Pelodiscus sinensis: one gene and its partner. The protein of the gene in region 1 interacts with the protein of each later gene in a pairwise test. Links are inferred from orthologs where the notes say so. Each region holds a gene or a part of one and is shown in the gene's direction. Other genes may lie near its edges.

What was found.
Region 2: the proteins of PLEKHF2 (region 1) and PRKAR1A interact in binary tests that used the Homo sapiens proteins (3 or more experiments, as listed by UniProt). The two-hybrid records come from large-scale screens. The link is inferred for Pelodiscus sinensis from reciprocal best matches to the Homo sapiens genes PLEKHF2 and PRKAR1A.

Annotation. Positions count from the first base shown.
Region 1 is NC_134712.1:39,749,185-39,756,388, reverse strand, and holds the start of PLEKHF2 (pleckstrin homology domain-containing family F member 2), read left to right. Parts: upstream 1-4,117; 5' UTR 4,118-4,264; intron 4,265-7,204. UniProt on the Homo sapiens protein: May play a role in early endosome fusion upstream of RAB5, hence regulating receptor trafficking and fluid-phase transport. Enhances cellular sensitivity to TNF-induced apoptosis.
Region 2 is NC_134730.1:23,380,765-23,388,370, forward strand, and holds the start of PRKAR1A (cAMP-dependent protein kinase type I-alpha regulatory subunit), read left to right. Parts: upstream 1-4,565; 5' UTR 4,566-4,710; intron 4,711-6,609; 5' UTR 6,610-6,683; intron 6,684-7,547; 5' UTR 7,548-7,549; coding exon 7,550-7,606. UniProt on the Homo sapiens protein: Regulatory subunit of the cAMP-dependent protein kinases involved in cAMP signaling in cells.

The DNA of each region.
Region 1 (7,204 bases):
AAAAAGGAGTCATATAAAAATGGAAAGTAGGACAAATTACAAAGGATGAATATAGGCAAACAACACAGGAATGCAGGGGCAAGATTAGAAAGGCAAAGGCACAAAATTAGCTCAAACTAGCTACGGCAATAAAGGGAAACAAGAAGACCTTTTATAAATATATTAGAAGCAAGAAGAAGACCAATGACAGGGTAGGCCCACTGGTCAGTGAGGAGAGAAAAACAGAAACAGGAAACTTGGAAATGACAGAGATGCATAATGAGTTTTTTCTTTCGGTCTTCACTGAGAAGTCTGAAGGAATGCCTAATATAGTGAATGCTAGTGGGAAGGGGGTAGGTTTAGAAGATAAAATTAAAAAAAAAAGTTAAAAATCACCTAGAAAAGTTAGATGTCTGCAAGTCACCGGGGCCTGATGAAATGCATCCTAGAATACTCAAGGAGCTGATAGAGGAGGTATCTGAGCCTCTAGCTATCATCTTTGGAAAATCATAGGAGACAGGAGAGATTCCAGAAGACTGGAAAAGGGCAAATATAGTGCCCATTTATAAAAAGGGAAATAAGAACAACCCAGGAAACTACAGACCAGTTAGTGTAACTTCTGTGCCAGGGAAGATAATGGAGCAAGTAATTAAGGAAATCATCTGTAAACACTTGGAAGGTGACAAGATGATAGGGACTAGCCAGCATGGATTTGTAAAGAACAAATCATGTCAAACCAATTGGATAGCTTTCTTTGATAGGATAACGAGTCCTGTGTGGATAAGGGAGAGGAGGTGGGTGTGGTATACCTAGGCTTTGATACAGACTTTGTAAGGCATTTGATACAGTCTCACATGGTATTCTTATCAATAAACTAGGCAAATACAACTTAGATGGGGCTACGGTGGGTGCATAATTGTCTGGATAACCGTACTCAGATAGTAGTTATTAATGGTTCACAATCCTGCTGGAAAGGTATAACAAGTGGGTTTCCGCAGGGGTCTGTTTTGGGACCGGCTCTGTTCAATATCTTCATCAACAATTTAGATATTGGCATAGAAAGTACGCTTATTAAGTTTGCAGATGATACCAAGCTGGGAGGGGTTGTGACTAATCTAGAGGATAGGGTCATAATTCAAAATGATCTGGACAAATAGGAGAAATGGTCTGAGGTAAACAGGATGAAGTTTAATAAGGACAAATGCAAAGTGCTCCACTTAGGAAGGAACAATCAGTTTCACACATAGGCTATGTCTACACTGGCGTGATCTTGTGCCAGATATATGCAAATGAGGCTAAGCGTGGAATATCGCCGAGCCTCATTTGCATATCTAATGAGCTGCCATTTTTGCAGAAGAGGCTCTTGCACAAGAAGGAGCGTCTACACTTCCCCTTCTTGCGCAAGAAAAACCCTCTTGCGCAATGCCGTTATGCTGATTATTTTCAAAAAAGCAAACATGATTCTCGGATGCATTAACAGGTGTGTTGTGAGCAAGACATGAAAAGTCATTCTTCCATTCTACTCTGCGCTAGTTAGGCCTCAGTTGGAGTATTGCATCTAGTTCTGGGCACCGCATTTCAAGAAAGATATGGAAAAATTGGAGAGGGTCCAGAGAAGAGCAACAAGAATGATTAAAGGTATAAAGAACATGACCTATGAAGGAAGGCTGAAAAAACTGTGTTTGTTTAGTTTAGAAAAGAGAAGATTGAGGGGGGACATGATAGCAGTTTTCAGGTATCTAAAAGGGTGTCATATGGAGGAGGGAAAAAACGTGTTCATCTTGGCATCTGAGGATAGAACAAGAAGCAATGGGCTTAAACTGCAGCACAGGAGGTTTAGGTTGGACATTAGGAAAAAGTTCCTAACTGTCAGGGTAGTCAAACACTGGAATAAATTGCCCAGGGAGGTTGTGAAATCTCCATTTCTGGAGATATTTAAGAGTAGGTTAGATAAATGTCTATCAGGGATGGTCTAGACAGTATTTGGTCCTGCCATGAGGGCAGGGGACTGGACTCAATGACCTCTCGAGGTCCCTTCCAGTCCTATTATCCTCTGATTCTATGATAAAGTCCATAACTGGTAGAGGTTGAATAAGCTCAAGACTTATATAATACTCAGGAGTAAACAGACATAAGGATGCTTCTGAATGCATGCTGTATGTGCCTTATGGCTTTTGATTATCTTGGTGTCAAAGAAACTATAGTAATTAAGTCACCTGATAGAGTTGTTTCATCCTTTCTGTTCACTACTTTCCAGAAATGGAATACAGAAATAACATGTGCATCACAGGCATTAGCAGTCCCCCCCCTCCCCTCCTCCCGGCCTTGCTGCCCTTAACAGAAGCAGCAAGGCAGGGGAGGGAGCTGGAGCTGATACATCATCTCTGCAGAGGGCAGGGGAGGCAGATGGATAGTGGGGAACGGGCTTGGCCTATACCACACAATGATTTTCAAGACTAGTGTATCACTATCTTGCATATACTTTATGTGTCATCTTTTAGATAGAGATTATGACAACGAGTTGGAGTACATTGTATATGTCAGGCTTGATAAGAGTTGTTGACACACAATTGTAAACCACTAATAAACCATGTGAGGACAGTTTTGAACATCCTATCAAAAGAGCATCTTAGCAAAAAAAAAAAAAGGAAATCTTCACATACTTTTCAGAGTAGAATTATAGCCCAAGTAACAGGAGTGCTATGGTTTAAAAAAATATGGCCAAATTAGAGACAAGTCAGACAGGAACACTAAAAATAACAATAATGGAAAAATAATGCCCATATTTTACAGGAAGTTAAAAAATACACTAAATATAATTGGGAGAAATGAAAATGGAATAGCAATTAATTATATAACTTGTGACAAGGTCAGGCCAGAGGGCTTGATTCAAAGGAGAGAGAGGCAGCTTTAAAAGGCAGAAATGGTCCTGGAATTATCATGGGTGGAATGGGAGCAGCTGAGATGAGGCTACTATAAACCAATTAGGGCCAGCTGCTCTGACTTCAGGCTGCAACAGGGTCTTTTTAAAAGCTTCCCCTCCTCTCTACTCCCAGGAAAAGTGAGAGAAATGATAGCAGATAAGGAGAGACTTGGAGATGCTAATAAAGAGAAGTCAGTGTTGCTGGAGATAGCAAGGAAGGTCAGGAGCTCTGACGGGAACTGTTTGGGCTCCCTTCCCCAAGTAGCTTGAGCATTTCAGCCAATGGCTGGGGAGGTCTGCTTACCCAGCCTAGGGAGATCAAGGGGCACCTGCCCCAAAGCCCTTCTAGCTGAGGGACAGAAATCTAAACCCCAGCAAGGGCAAGAGTGGCCTGTGCCACAGTACCTAAATAATTGGTGAGACTGAGTTGAACAGGGGCCCAGGAATGGGACTGACCTTTTCACAAACTTATAAAGAGAATACTATCAGTATTCTCTTGTCACAACAAGGACAATATCACGGAACAAAGGTCTGAAAATGCAGTAGGAAAAATGGTTAAATAAGTGGGAAAACATAGCTATAAAGTAACTGAACTTCTAAAGGAGAAAATTTTCCATTAGTGGACCTATTTAATACTATTAGCAGTGGGTTAAGAATACAAAAGCAATCCTGTCATGATCTAGACAGGTGGAGAAACATCCTTTTGAATAAAAAAAATTCTATGACTCTTTTTTCCTCTTACAAAAGCAGGTGTCAGCAAGGAATGAAGTGCATTTTCTTTTAAACTCTGCATGTTGCTTGGCAATCTTCACCAAACTCACCTGGTAGCACCTGGATTAGGTGGCTGGGCAAGATGTTGAGTAGGAATGTGAATGGTTAACTGGTAAGCATCACCCAGCAAGGCTTGCCAGTTGCAATTAACTGATGGGGCCTGGAACAGCTCCCCACCTGCTACAGGCAGGGAGCTGCTCTATCCCAGCAAGGTCCAATGTGGGAAGGGGGTGCTCTAGCCCAGGTAGAGCAGCCCCTGTATATAGCAAGCCTGGGCTGGTGCTCCTCACACAGGGGGGCTCCATCCTGGCTGGAATAGCCCCCACCTGCAGCAGGGAAGGAAGGTGCTCCAGCCTACCCTCTGCCCCACCCCCTTCATGTGGTTTCCCAGTTAAATGATTAAATGGGATTTTACATCCCTACAGCTGGGTAGGTTTGAGATGATGGACAGAAAGAATCCTGTGTCTCCAGAGCACTTGCAAAAACACTTGGCAGAGAAAGCTTAAATCTATTAACTGCAACAGCAAGTTGTGGCACTTGTACATCCTGACCATCGGACAAAGGACCACTGTGTGCACAGCTGTGCAAGAGGTAAGCTAAGATTTTGTTATTATTATTTTTAGTAAAAGTCACAGGCAGGTCATGGGCAACAACTAAAAATTCACATAAGTCCCTGACTTTTAATAAAAATAACTGACAAAATGGGAAAGGAGGAGGGTCTAGAACACACAGGTTGTAGGTGAACCCTGGTCTCAGGATGGTTAGCCCTTGGCCTGTCACTTCTGCCTGAGGCATTTTTCCTTCCACTGAAGTCCAGACACCTCACTCCTATGTGGAACCCTTCTTTCTCCCCCCACAGCACTCTTGAGTATGCAATATGACTTTCCTCCAGCAGTCCCAGAGTGCCTGGCATGTGGGTAGTGTGGCCCACAGATGAAGGATGTTAAAGACTAGTTGACTATCCAATAAGAATTTGCTTATCAGATAGTAATGTCAACTAGACAATTCCCCCCTTGCCGCCTATATGAAATAGAGGCAGCACTGGGTGGGGGGAAAAGGGGTACTTTAAAGTGGCACTGCTGCTCTGAAACCTGAAGGTGGCAGCTGCACAGCTGATCCTGGGATCACCTGTGTGGCAGGCTGCCCCTTTTAAAACACCACCTCTGCGGGGAATCAAAGGGGCAGCCCTGGAGTCCGGGGTCAGCTGGGGATTCCCAGCTGATCCTGGGATCCCTGTGGCATTTCCCCAGAACCTGGGATCAGCTGGAGAGTCCCCAGTTGACTGTGGGTTCCATGTGACACTTCCCTGGACTCCCCAGCTGATCCTGAGTCCTGGGGAAATGCCACAGGGAGCCTGGGGTCATCTGGGGAGTTCCCAGCTGACCCTGGGCTTCCCTCCTGCCCCTTTGAATCATGCAGAGGCAGTGTTTTAAAGAGCCAACAGGCCGCATAGCTGATCCCAAGATCAGCTGTGCAGCGGGCTGGCCCTTTAAAATACTGCCTCCGCACGATTCAAAGGGGCAGCTGCCATTGATCCCGGGGTCAGCTGGGACCTCCCCAGCTGACCCTGGGCTCCCTATGGCATTTCCCCAGGACCTGGGATCAGCTGGGGAGTCCAGGGAAGTGCCACATGGAACCCAGAGTCAACTGACTAGTCAATTAATCGCATTTTAGCATCCTTACCAGAGACCTTCTTCCCTCAACCCTGGAGTGCAAAGTGGTTATCACCCTCCCAGCACATATGGGTGGTGTGCCCTCCCAGCCCTTGAGTATTATGTGAGTGTTGCATAGCCCCCCAGCACCAGGCAGCCCTCATTAACCTCAGCCCTATCCTGGTACCTCCCCCACACAGCACAGTTCTGGGAAGCAGGAAGGGACCTGGGGGCAGAGCATGAGAGGGGCCAAAGGCCATACAAGGCTTTTTGGTGTAGCTCAGCCTTCTGCTGCCTTCAATAACTGCTACCTATGCCAATATCTGTGGTTGCTGGGGCTCCACGATTCCCTCCCATGGTGACTGCAAGTGTGGGGTCCTCTGGCAGCTGGCAACAGCTTAGAGATGTGGGGTACCCCACATATGGAAGAGGCTTGGAGCTGTAAGGGTCCTTCCACTACTCCTGATGGTGGCTTTCAGTTGTGGGGCATCCTGGATAGGGACCACAGCAGGTCCCCCCCTACCTGTCATCTTGGCTGGATTTTTAAAGGGAGCCCCTGCAACCTGTTGTGGCTAGGAGTTGCAGCGGACTTCACTGGCTGTCAGGTCCTGCCTTGGGGCTGAAGTAAAAATGTCCCAAAGATCTCTGGAAGTAATGGAAATACCAAACTTGAATTCAAATGGAATTCAGAATCTTTACTGGGATCTTCCTTCCCCTTGGATACTTTATCAGTTAATCTAATAATTCTGATTTTTCATAGATTAATGTTTTGGGTAGAGATGTTAGATATTGGGTAATACAATAGTTGACTAACTGCACGAATTCTTAGTGGTTAGTTGACTATTCTATGGTCCAATGTATCAGAGGCAGCAGTACATAGTGCTAGGTGGGAAATGGTCCACGAGGGGAGACAGTTAAAAACCAGCTCCCCTTGTAGACCAGCTGCTTGCTGCCCTGTGCTGCTGCCTCTGATATAGAGGCAGCAGCATGGGGTGATAGCAGCCCCTGTCCGTGATGGGTCCGAGCTCTGCACGGACAGAGGCTACTCCAGCCTCTGTCTTTAGGGAGATCAGACCTCTGTGAACTGGGGCTACTGCCAGGGACCAGCCTCTGTTGATGGCAGGCCCGAGCTCACCATGCATAGGAGCTGCTGCAGTGAAGCAGCATCCCACAGAACAGGCTTCCCATGGACAGACGTTGCTCTGCATCCCGTGAAGCAGTCACGGCCTGCCATGGTGAGTCAGGGCCTGCCAAGGGCACAGGCTGCTCTGCAGCAGCCTCCCCTGGTGCCCCCCCAAACACTCTAGCCTCTGTCCACAGGGAGCTCTGACCCCCTGTGGACAGGAGCTGTTGCCCCGAAACAGCATCTCGCAGAGCAGGCTTACTACAGAGGTTGCTTTGCATCCTACAGAACAGCCTCTGGCAGCAGCGAGCCAGAGTCCGCCATGGGCAGAGACTGCTTTGTGGCAGCCTCCTCTCTCCCCCATGTTGCTGCCTCTATGAGAGGCAGCAGCATGGTGGTGCGGGGGAGGGGGGCAGGCGGCACTGCAGACTTGCTACTGGGGGGCACCAGCTCCCTGCTTCTCCCCCCCTTGCTGTCTCTTATACCGAGGCAATGGGGGGGGGGGGGAATGCAAGTAGTAGACTAGATTAACTGATAATCCCTAGTTTTGGGGCCACTTCTTTTGTGCCAAAAAGCAAATACTTTCACAGTCCTACAATTAGGTGAATATGAAATCTGGGGAACCCAAACACTAGGGTCTTCATATGAGTGAAACCTTAATTAATCAAAAATGTTGTTGCTGTTTTTCTGAGTTTCTCTCACAGCACAAACTTGTATTATTCTGATGTTTGTGTCATTGGGCTATGATACAATGTG
Region 2 (7,606 bases), on another chromosome or scaffold:
TAGGAAGATCCCCCTGTCTCTGTAAGCCACGCTTAGGGCCGTCCTGAGGGGGATACGGGGCACCCCAACTCAGTGCAACCTCCCCGCCACAGGACCCGCCCCTGCTCCACCCCTTCCCTAAGCTCCGCCCCAGCTCCACTCCTTGCCCGTACTCCGATCAACACAGCCCAGGGAATTATGGGGCCTGGCATGGCAGCAGTAGGGTTCCCCTCCCCGCCCACTCATCACACAAGTGGCAGAAGCCAGAACAGCCCAGCAGCCTGCTCCGCTCCACCCCGCCATTTTCTTGGGCCCCCCATGCCTCGCTTTTTTGTGGCAGTGGGAACTGGAGTGCCTTGAGGCTGAGACGCTCGGCTTCCCACCCCCACTGAGAAACAGGGCACAGTGGGCCAGGAGAGAGTGGCAGGGCAGAGCGGAGCAGGCTGCCTGCTCTGGTTCTTGCTGCCGTTGTGAGTACGGGAGGTGAGGGAGACCCCTACTGTTGCTGTGCCAGACCCCTGCAATCCCTGGGTCCCTCCCATCCATAGAACACCAGGGCCAGCCATTGTGGGTCTCCCAAAAGTGTGGGGCCCGGAATGGCCACCCCTAACCATCCCATGAATGGGACAACTCTGGTCATGCTAAAACTGAGCTAGAGACAGCCCCCTCCATGGAGCAGGAGCAGAAGCCATGTCTATACTTACTATGCTGGGGATTGATCTGCTGGCATTTGATTTAGTGGGTCTAGTGAGGACCCACTAAATCGAATGCTGAGGGCAACCCCAGTGGGTGCCACAGTGTCTCGATTCATGAGGAGTAAGAGAAATTGACGGGAGCATTTGCTCCCATTGATCTCCTGCTGTGAAGATGGCACCAAGCTTGGCTTAACATATGTCCACTCCAGCTACGTTATTTAAGACGATCTTCCCGGTCTAGAATAGATCTGGCCAGAACTGAGAACTGCACTAGCAAAACCATACTGGAGGGCCTAGCTTCACCAGAGACAGAACCATGCTACATTTAACCATGCTGCTCTGACAAGGCTTCCGCTAGAATGGTTCAGCAACATCCATGCGACACCATGTTCCCCACACCCTCATGTCAGTGGAGTTGGCCTCTCCATACCTACCATACCGCACAACCATGCTTGCATCTGTATGTTCTGGGGGAAACTGGGGTCGCTTTCCCATTCGGCCTCAGCTGTTACTTAGGGAGCAGTCCTAACAGTGATCCCAAGTCATTTCATTCATAGCTCTATTTCATTGTTAGCGGGTTATACGCTGACAGAAAGAGTTATTTTATTTTACTAACACACAGAACAATGAATTTTAGGAAGACTTCCCACACACAGACCTAAGCAAGAACCCATTTATAGCCAAACATTCATGGTACAGCCAAGCTCACAGTCACGTTGCTAGGAACCGTTTATGGTATATGTTGTGAGCACAAGTCAAGTGCAGCTATAGTACTGCTAGGGATGCTAAAACGCATGTAATTAAGTAACTCTGTAATTGCTGAACATTTCAGTAGTTACATGATTACATGTGAGGTGGCTGGCGGCTACCTGGGAGCTGGTGCATGACAGGAGCTGGCTTTTAAGCTGGCTCCATGCATGCACCGGGAGTCTGTGTGTAACTGTGACCGTTAACTGATAAGCACAGGCGCATCGGTTCACCGTTTACATGGTTACACTTTCACATCCCGAAATACAACCTGGTTACCAACCCGGTAAATATGTGAGTGTAGTCTCCCAAGTGGGAGAGTTCTTAGTAAATAGCATGGGTTTATAACAGGATTCTCTACACTTGTTGACACTGCAAAGCAGGGCATCTGATTTCAAGATTTCATGATGTACAGTGTGTCCAACGACACATCTAAGACCTTAGCATGGTTGTGGAGAACACTTAACATTGCATCCCTGCTACAAATGGAATTGTGTTGTACCTGTGTCCCCTGACTCAGTGTAGATGAAGCTTTAAAACTCTGCTACAGCAATGGTGTTGAAACATGACTGTCACTAGGGCTTTGTCTCCCAGCGCCCCATGTAAACCACCTCCATCGGGGGAGTAGCTAACTCATCTGGGAGCCTGGTTCACATTGGTGCTTTACTGCGCTGTCACTTGCTGCGCTCAGGAGGATGGGTTTTTTCACACTCCTGAGCCAGAAAGTTACAGTGCAGTCAAGTGCCATGGTAGCCTAGGACAGTTTGATTGCAGTGTGAGTAGACCCAACAGTTTTTTTTCTTTCACCTGATTTGAGAAAGTCTCAAGACACCTCAACACATGAATATATATTGGCAGGCATTTGGGAGGCATAAGGAAATGTACTCATCACAGAGAAGGCTCTACATACGGACTTGTATTCAAGGTGCACCTGCATCAAAAGCACTTAACAGAACTGAGCTCCGATTAGCATCGCAAGGTTGCCTACAAATCCCAGAGTATTCTGCTCCACGTTTTAATACTTTGATCTGTGACTGCCGTATTGTAAAGTGGTTTTGCACTATTCCTGTAGAGTGCCGTCCTCTTTTTCCTTGATGAGAACATGCTGCGAGACTGCGAGACAAGTTTTACTTACGGGTTTGATCTTTGCTCAAGGCATGGCAGAATATGGGCTCTATCCCAAAACTGGGATACAAGTTATATTAATTCAAAGAGAAAGCCCCACCAATGCTAAGCATTGCTATTTTCCAGTCACAAATTGGAAATAATAGAATGAGTTGTCCTGTGGCACCTTAGAGACCAACAAAAATATATGTAGTATCATGAGCTTCTGTGGGCAAAACCCACTTCTTCAGAGGAGTTGGAAGAAGGAGTGGAAAAGGCACGAACCCAGAATTTATAACACAAAAATAAGGGAAGAAAAAAAAAAGTACCTGTCAATTGTAGTACTGATGCTAATGCGGTTAATTGAGTGGGCTGGAAGTTTCCTATACTGTACTTAACTTTTGGTGTAATGAGGTGTTAAATGCATGGAAAGCTGCCTTTATGTTGCATTATAAAGCCAGTCTTCCATGCATTTAACACCTCGCTTAAATGGTTCCTTCCCCCTTCCCCCAACACTGGCTCAAGAGCCGCCTGCTCCGCCCCCCAACACACCCGTCACTGCTGTCTCAGATACAGCACCCATTCCCAGCACTAGTTCCCTGTGTAAATGTGTATTTCCAGTGGATACACGTCTACACAAATAAACACATTTTAACATCCCTATCCCAGAGCCCAGTCACGATCCTAATTCTCATGGCCTGATTTGGTACCCAGCGCCCAATCCAACCCTAGTTCCCACGGGGTATCTCTGTGCCCAGCGCCCATTCCCAGGCCTAGTTCCCACGGGGTATCTCTGTGCCCAGCGCCCATTCCCAGGCCTAGTTCCCACAGGGTATCTCTGTGCCCAGTGCCCATTCTCAGGCCTAGTTCCCACGGGGTATGTCTGTGCCCAGCGCCCATTCCCAGGCCTAGTTCCCACGGGGTATCTCTGTGCCCAGCGCCCATTCCCAGCCCTAGTTCCCACGGGGTATGTCTGTGCCCAGCGCCCATTCCCAGCCCTAGTTCCCACAGGGTATCTCTGTGCCCAGCGCCCATTCCCAGCCCTAGTTCCCACGGGGTATGTCTGTGCCCAGCGCCCATTCCCAGCCCTAGTTCCCACGGGGTATCTCTGTGCCCAGCGCCCATTCCCAGCCCTAGTTCCCACAGGGTATCTCTGTGCCCAGCGCCCATTCCCAGCCCTAGTTCCCACGGGGTATCTCTGTGCCCAGCGCCCATTCCCAGCCCTAGTTCCCACAGGGTATCTCTGTGCCCAGCGCCCATTCCCAGCCCTAGTTCCCACAGGGTATCTCTGTGCCCAGCGCCCATTCCCAGCCCTAGTTCCCACGGGGTATCTCTGTGCCCAGCACCCATTCCCAGGCCTAGTTCCCACGGGGTATCTCTGTGCCCAGCACCCATTCCCAGGCCTAGTTCCCACGGGGTATGTCTGTGCCCAGCGCCCAATCCAGCCCTAGTTCCCACGGGGTATCTCTGTGCCCAGCGCCCAATCCAGCCCTAGTTCCCACGGGGTATCTCTGTGCCCAGCTCCCATTCCCAGCCCTAGTTCCCACGGGGTATCTCTGTGCCCAGCGCCCATTTCCGACCTGCCTCTCATATCCCATGCCCGCTGCTGAGCCCTCAAAACCCATCATTAGCCCGGCCCCTGGCTGGTCCCCAGGGCCATGCCTGGAACTTGGGGCCTGGGTGCAGCCTGGCCCCTGGCGTGGAGCCCTCGTGTCCCCGCAGCTCCGCCTGCCATGTGCCCGTCCCATGGACTGGCAGCAGTGCCTAGGGGTGTCGGGCACTCCTTAAAGGAGCCAAGGAAACTGGGCAAGGCAGACCCTTGAGGCAAGGCCAGGGTGGGGTTGGCCCCTTTAAGAGGGCGGGGCATCGCAAGGCCTTGTAAGGGGAGGGGCTGGTTGCGGAGCTTCGTCAAAGCTGGAGGAAGGCGCCGTGGTCCCTTTAAGAGGGAGGCGCGAAACGTGTCGGCGGCTCCTTTAAGACGCGGCGCGAGCGCGGCGTCCCCTTTAAGGTTGCCCCGGCGACGGCTCGCAGTGAGAGCGAGGCGCATTGACGTCAGGTTGGCAGGCGATTGGCTGAGGTCGCTGGTTTCCGGTGGGAGCGGGAGCCGCCGCCGCCGAGATCGCCGAGGCCGGGTCGGGGGGAGGGGGGCGAGCCAGGCCGAGGAGGGAGCCGCCCGGACCCCGCGGTGAGTGGGAGCCTGCGGGTCCCGCCTGGCCGCGGGGGGCTGCCGGGCGGCGGCTCCGGGGAGAGGCCGCCGGCCCCGGGGGAGCGCGGCGGGAGGCCTGAGGCGCTGGCCGGGGGCAGGCGGCGGGACGCGGGTGGGGGGAGGGGGCGTGGAAGACCCGGGGGGGGCAGGCAGGGCACTGGTGGGGGGTGGGGCAGGCCCGGGGGGGAAGGGCGGGGCGATCTAGGGGTGGGGGAGGAGGGGGGAGCAGTGGTGGTTGGGGGGGAGGGGGGTACGGGGATAGGCGGTGGGGGGGGCAGGTGGGGGGGCAGGCGGTGAGGAGGGGGCAGGTGGGGGGGTAGGCGGTGAGGAGGGGGCAGGTGGGGGGGTGGGCAGGTGGGGGGGTAGGCGGTGAGGGGGGGCAGGTGGGGGGCTGGGGAGCAGTATAGTGAGGTACGGTGTTATGTCGCTTACTGGCGGGGGTTGTGTGTGTTGCATGGGGTTGGGCTGGGGGTGTTTTCTCCCCCCCCTCCCCCCGTGCACACGTGCAGAAAGAGGAAGGTTTAACTTTACTGACGCAGGCGTTAGCTCTCTCCACACGCACCCCGCAATGTGAACCCCGCCTTATTCGATCCCTGGGAGAGGATGCTGCCTCCTGCAGGGAATCGGGCTGGGCAGGCTTACCTCAAAAACCTCCCTCCCCCCCCACCTGCATGGCAGGGTCCCCAAGTTGGGGTAACTTGACAGGAGGTTTCTTGATGTGTTGCACCAAACCCAGCCAACAAACTACAGAGCTGCCAAGTTTTGCTCATCCCCAAGTGGGAAGCATTGCAGGAAAATGTTTAGGTTTTTCAGTTTTTACATTGGTGGTGTCAATAAAACAGTAAAAATCCTTCCCCTTAAAAAGAATTTTTGCAAAGGTTTTCAGTGAGATACTTTGAATCTTACTGAAGTGTTTTTCAGACTGTGCTACTTATTAATTCCAAAGCTAATCTTGGAATGAGAGAATCTCCCTTACAAATGGATGCGGTTCACATTTCAGACACTGTTGGGGCGATGGACTTCTCCTCACTCCCAATGTGAGGAGCTTTTTGTAGTTTGACTATATGCTGATTGTTCTTCACAACACTGCACCACTAATGTGAAGGCTTAACATTTGGCACTGGCGCTTTAACTAATACAAATGGGAATAAGGTCCAAAATTTGGATCAGAATTTGTAACTCCTTGAAGTATGAAGTGGTTTAGGTTCTTGTACTAAAGTCATTGCAATTTTATATGGTGGCTTTTTTAATAATAAAGATATAGTTACAATATGTAGAAAGATTAAGGGGAAAATTTACAACTTGTTTGCTTGATATGCATTCTGGCACTGTTTTTTCACAGTAGTATCTTTGAGCCATTAGCGACTCATGTTTGCTGTCTATCAGCATCATGATGCTTTTTCCATAGACTCTAATTTGTGGGCTGTCATGGAGCCACAAATTTACTCTGGGACATTTAATTAGGCTTCTTATTGACCTTCAGCATGCAACTTGTCAAAACAAAAGGGGTAACTAGAACTTTTCGTGATAGAAATGTAGCCGTGTTAGTCTGAACTTTTCGGTAATCTTTCTCTTAGTACAAACCACATATGCATATGTGTTGCATAAACATGACCGTGGGTCTGCTTCTATACACTTTTGTGGCGATCAGTAATAAGAATGCAGCTTGTTTTGAATTATCTGTTCTGCCTCTAATCTGCCTATAATTCAAAGGAGCATAATTAATGTTATATTGACTATATTGCTGTGTGTTTTGTTAATTTTGTGCCCAAATAGAAAAGCATATGTAGTACGACTGTACCACTTGTACTTTACAGTGATTCTTCAACTATTAAGCATGCAACTTATTTTCTGTCTATTTTATTTTCCTCCCCAAAGCCGATATTGGGATCAACACGCTTCACTGTAAATTCTCTACATATCCACAGTTGTCCCTTCTATCTGCATCCCAGGTAACTGTCTTTACAGGGTTTATTTATATAACCTTAGAAAATACTCTTCTAAACATATTTTCATTTTTCTCTGTTAATCTCTCTTCAGAGCAACTTGCATAAGAAAAAACTGGTTAAAATAAAATATAATGGCAGTTTTTACACACTGAAAGCTCTTCTACTAAATTCTGATAAGATCTGGCATTTTATTTAATGTTTTGAAATCTAATATATGAGTTTTAATTACTGTGAGCGTACTTCAGAATTACAGAATATTAATCTAAATGTCACCCCTTTTTAGTTAACTTGTAGTAAAAGAGCATCTCCATTGGGCAAACATCTGTATTTCTATGGCTCCTACTAGCTGTTAATGGCTACAACTACCAGGGAGCTGACTTTTTTTGCTGTTACCTTACCAAATTTCACTATACTTTGTACCTCTGTTCCTTGTTTCCTCCGTGGTATGAGAGGGACTTCACTGAAGCAGGAAATCTGGGATATAATCAACAGCCTATGCCCATATGACTCCATGCCTTTCAGAATGCTCAAGGGGCCAGGGTTGCTGAGTTTCATTCACCTGGGGAGGGCGGGGGAAAAAAAGCCCTCTGCTTGTCTTGGGCCTGTGGGAATTTCTGTAGAGCAACCCAAGGTTCTCACTTCCTCCCAGATGCCAAGTACATCACGTCTCTGCACTGCTGGGCCAGAGCACAGGCTTGGGAATTGAACTTTGAATTTTAATTACTAGCCCTGCTGATAAGTTAGCTTTTTTTTTTTAAGTGAGATCACTGCAACAAAAGTTAATACAGCATGTCTAGGGAGCATGTCAGCTGGATCTGCTTAATTCTCAATGTAGTTCAGATGATTCTTATTTTTTTTCTTAAACAGCAATGGCAGCCTCTAGCAGCACCACCAATGAGGAGGAGCGTAGCCTCAGAGAATGTGAA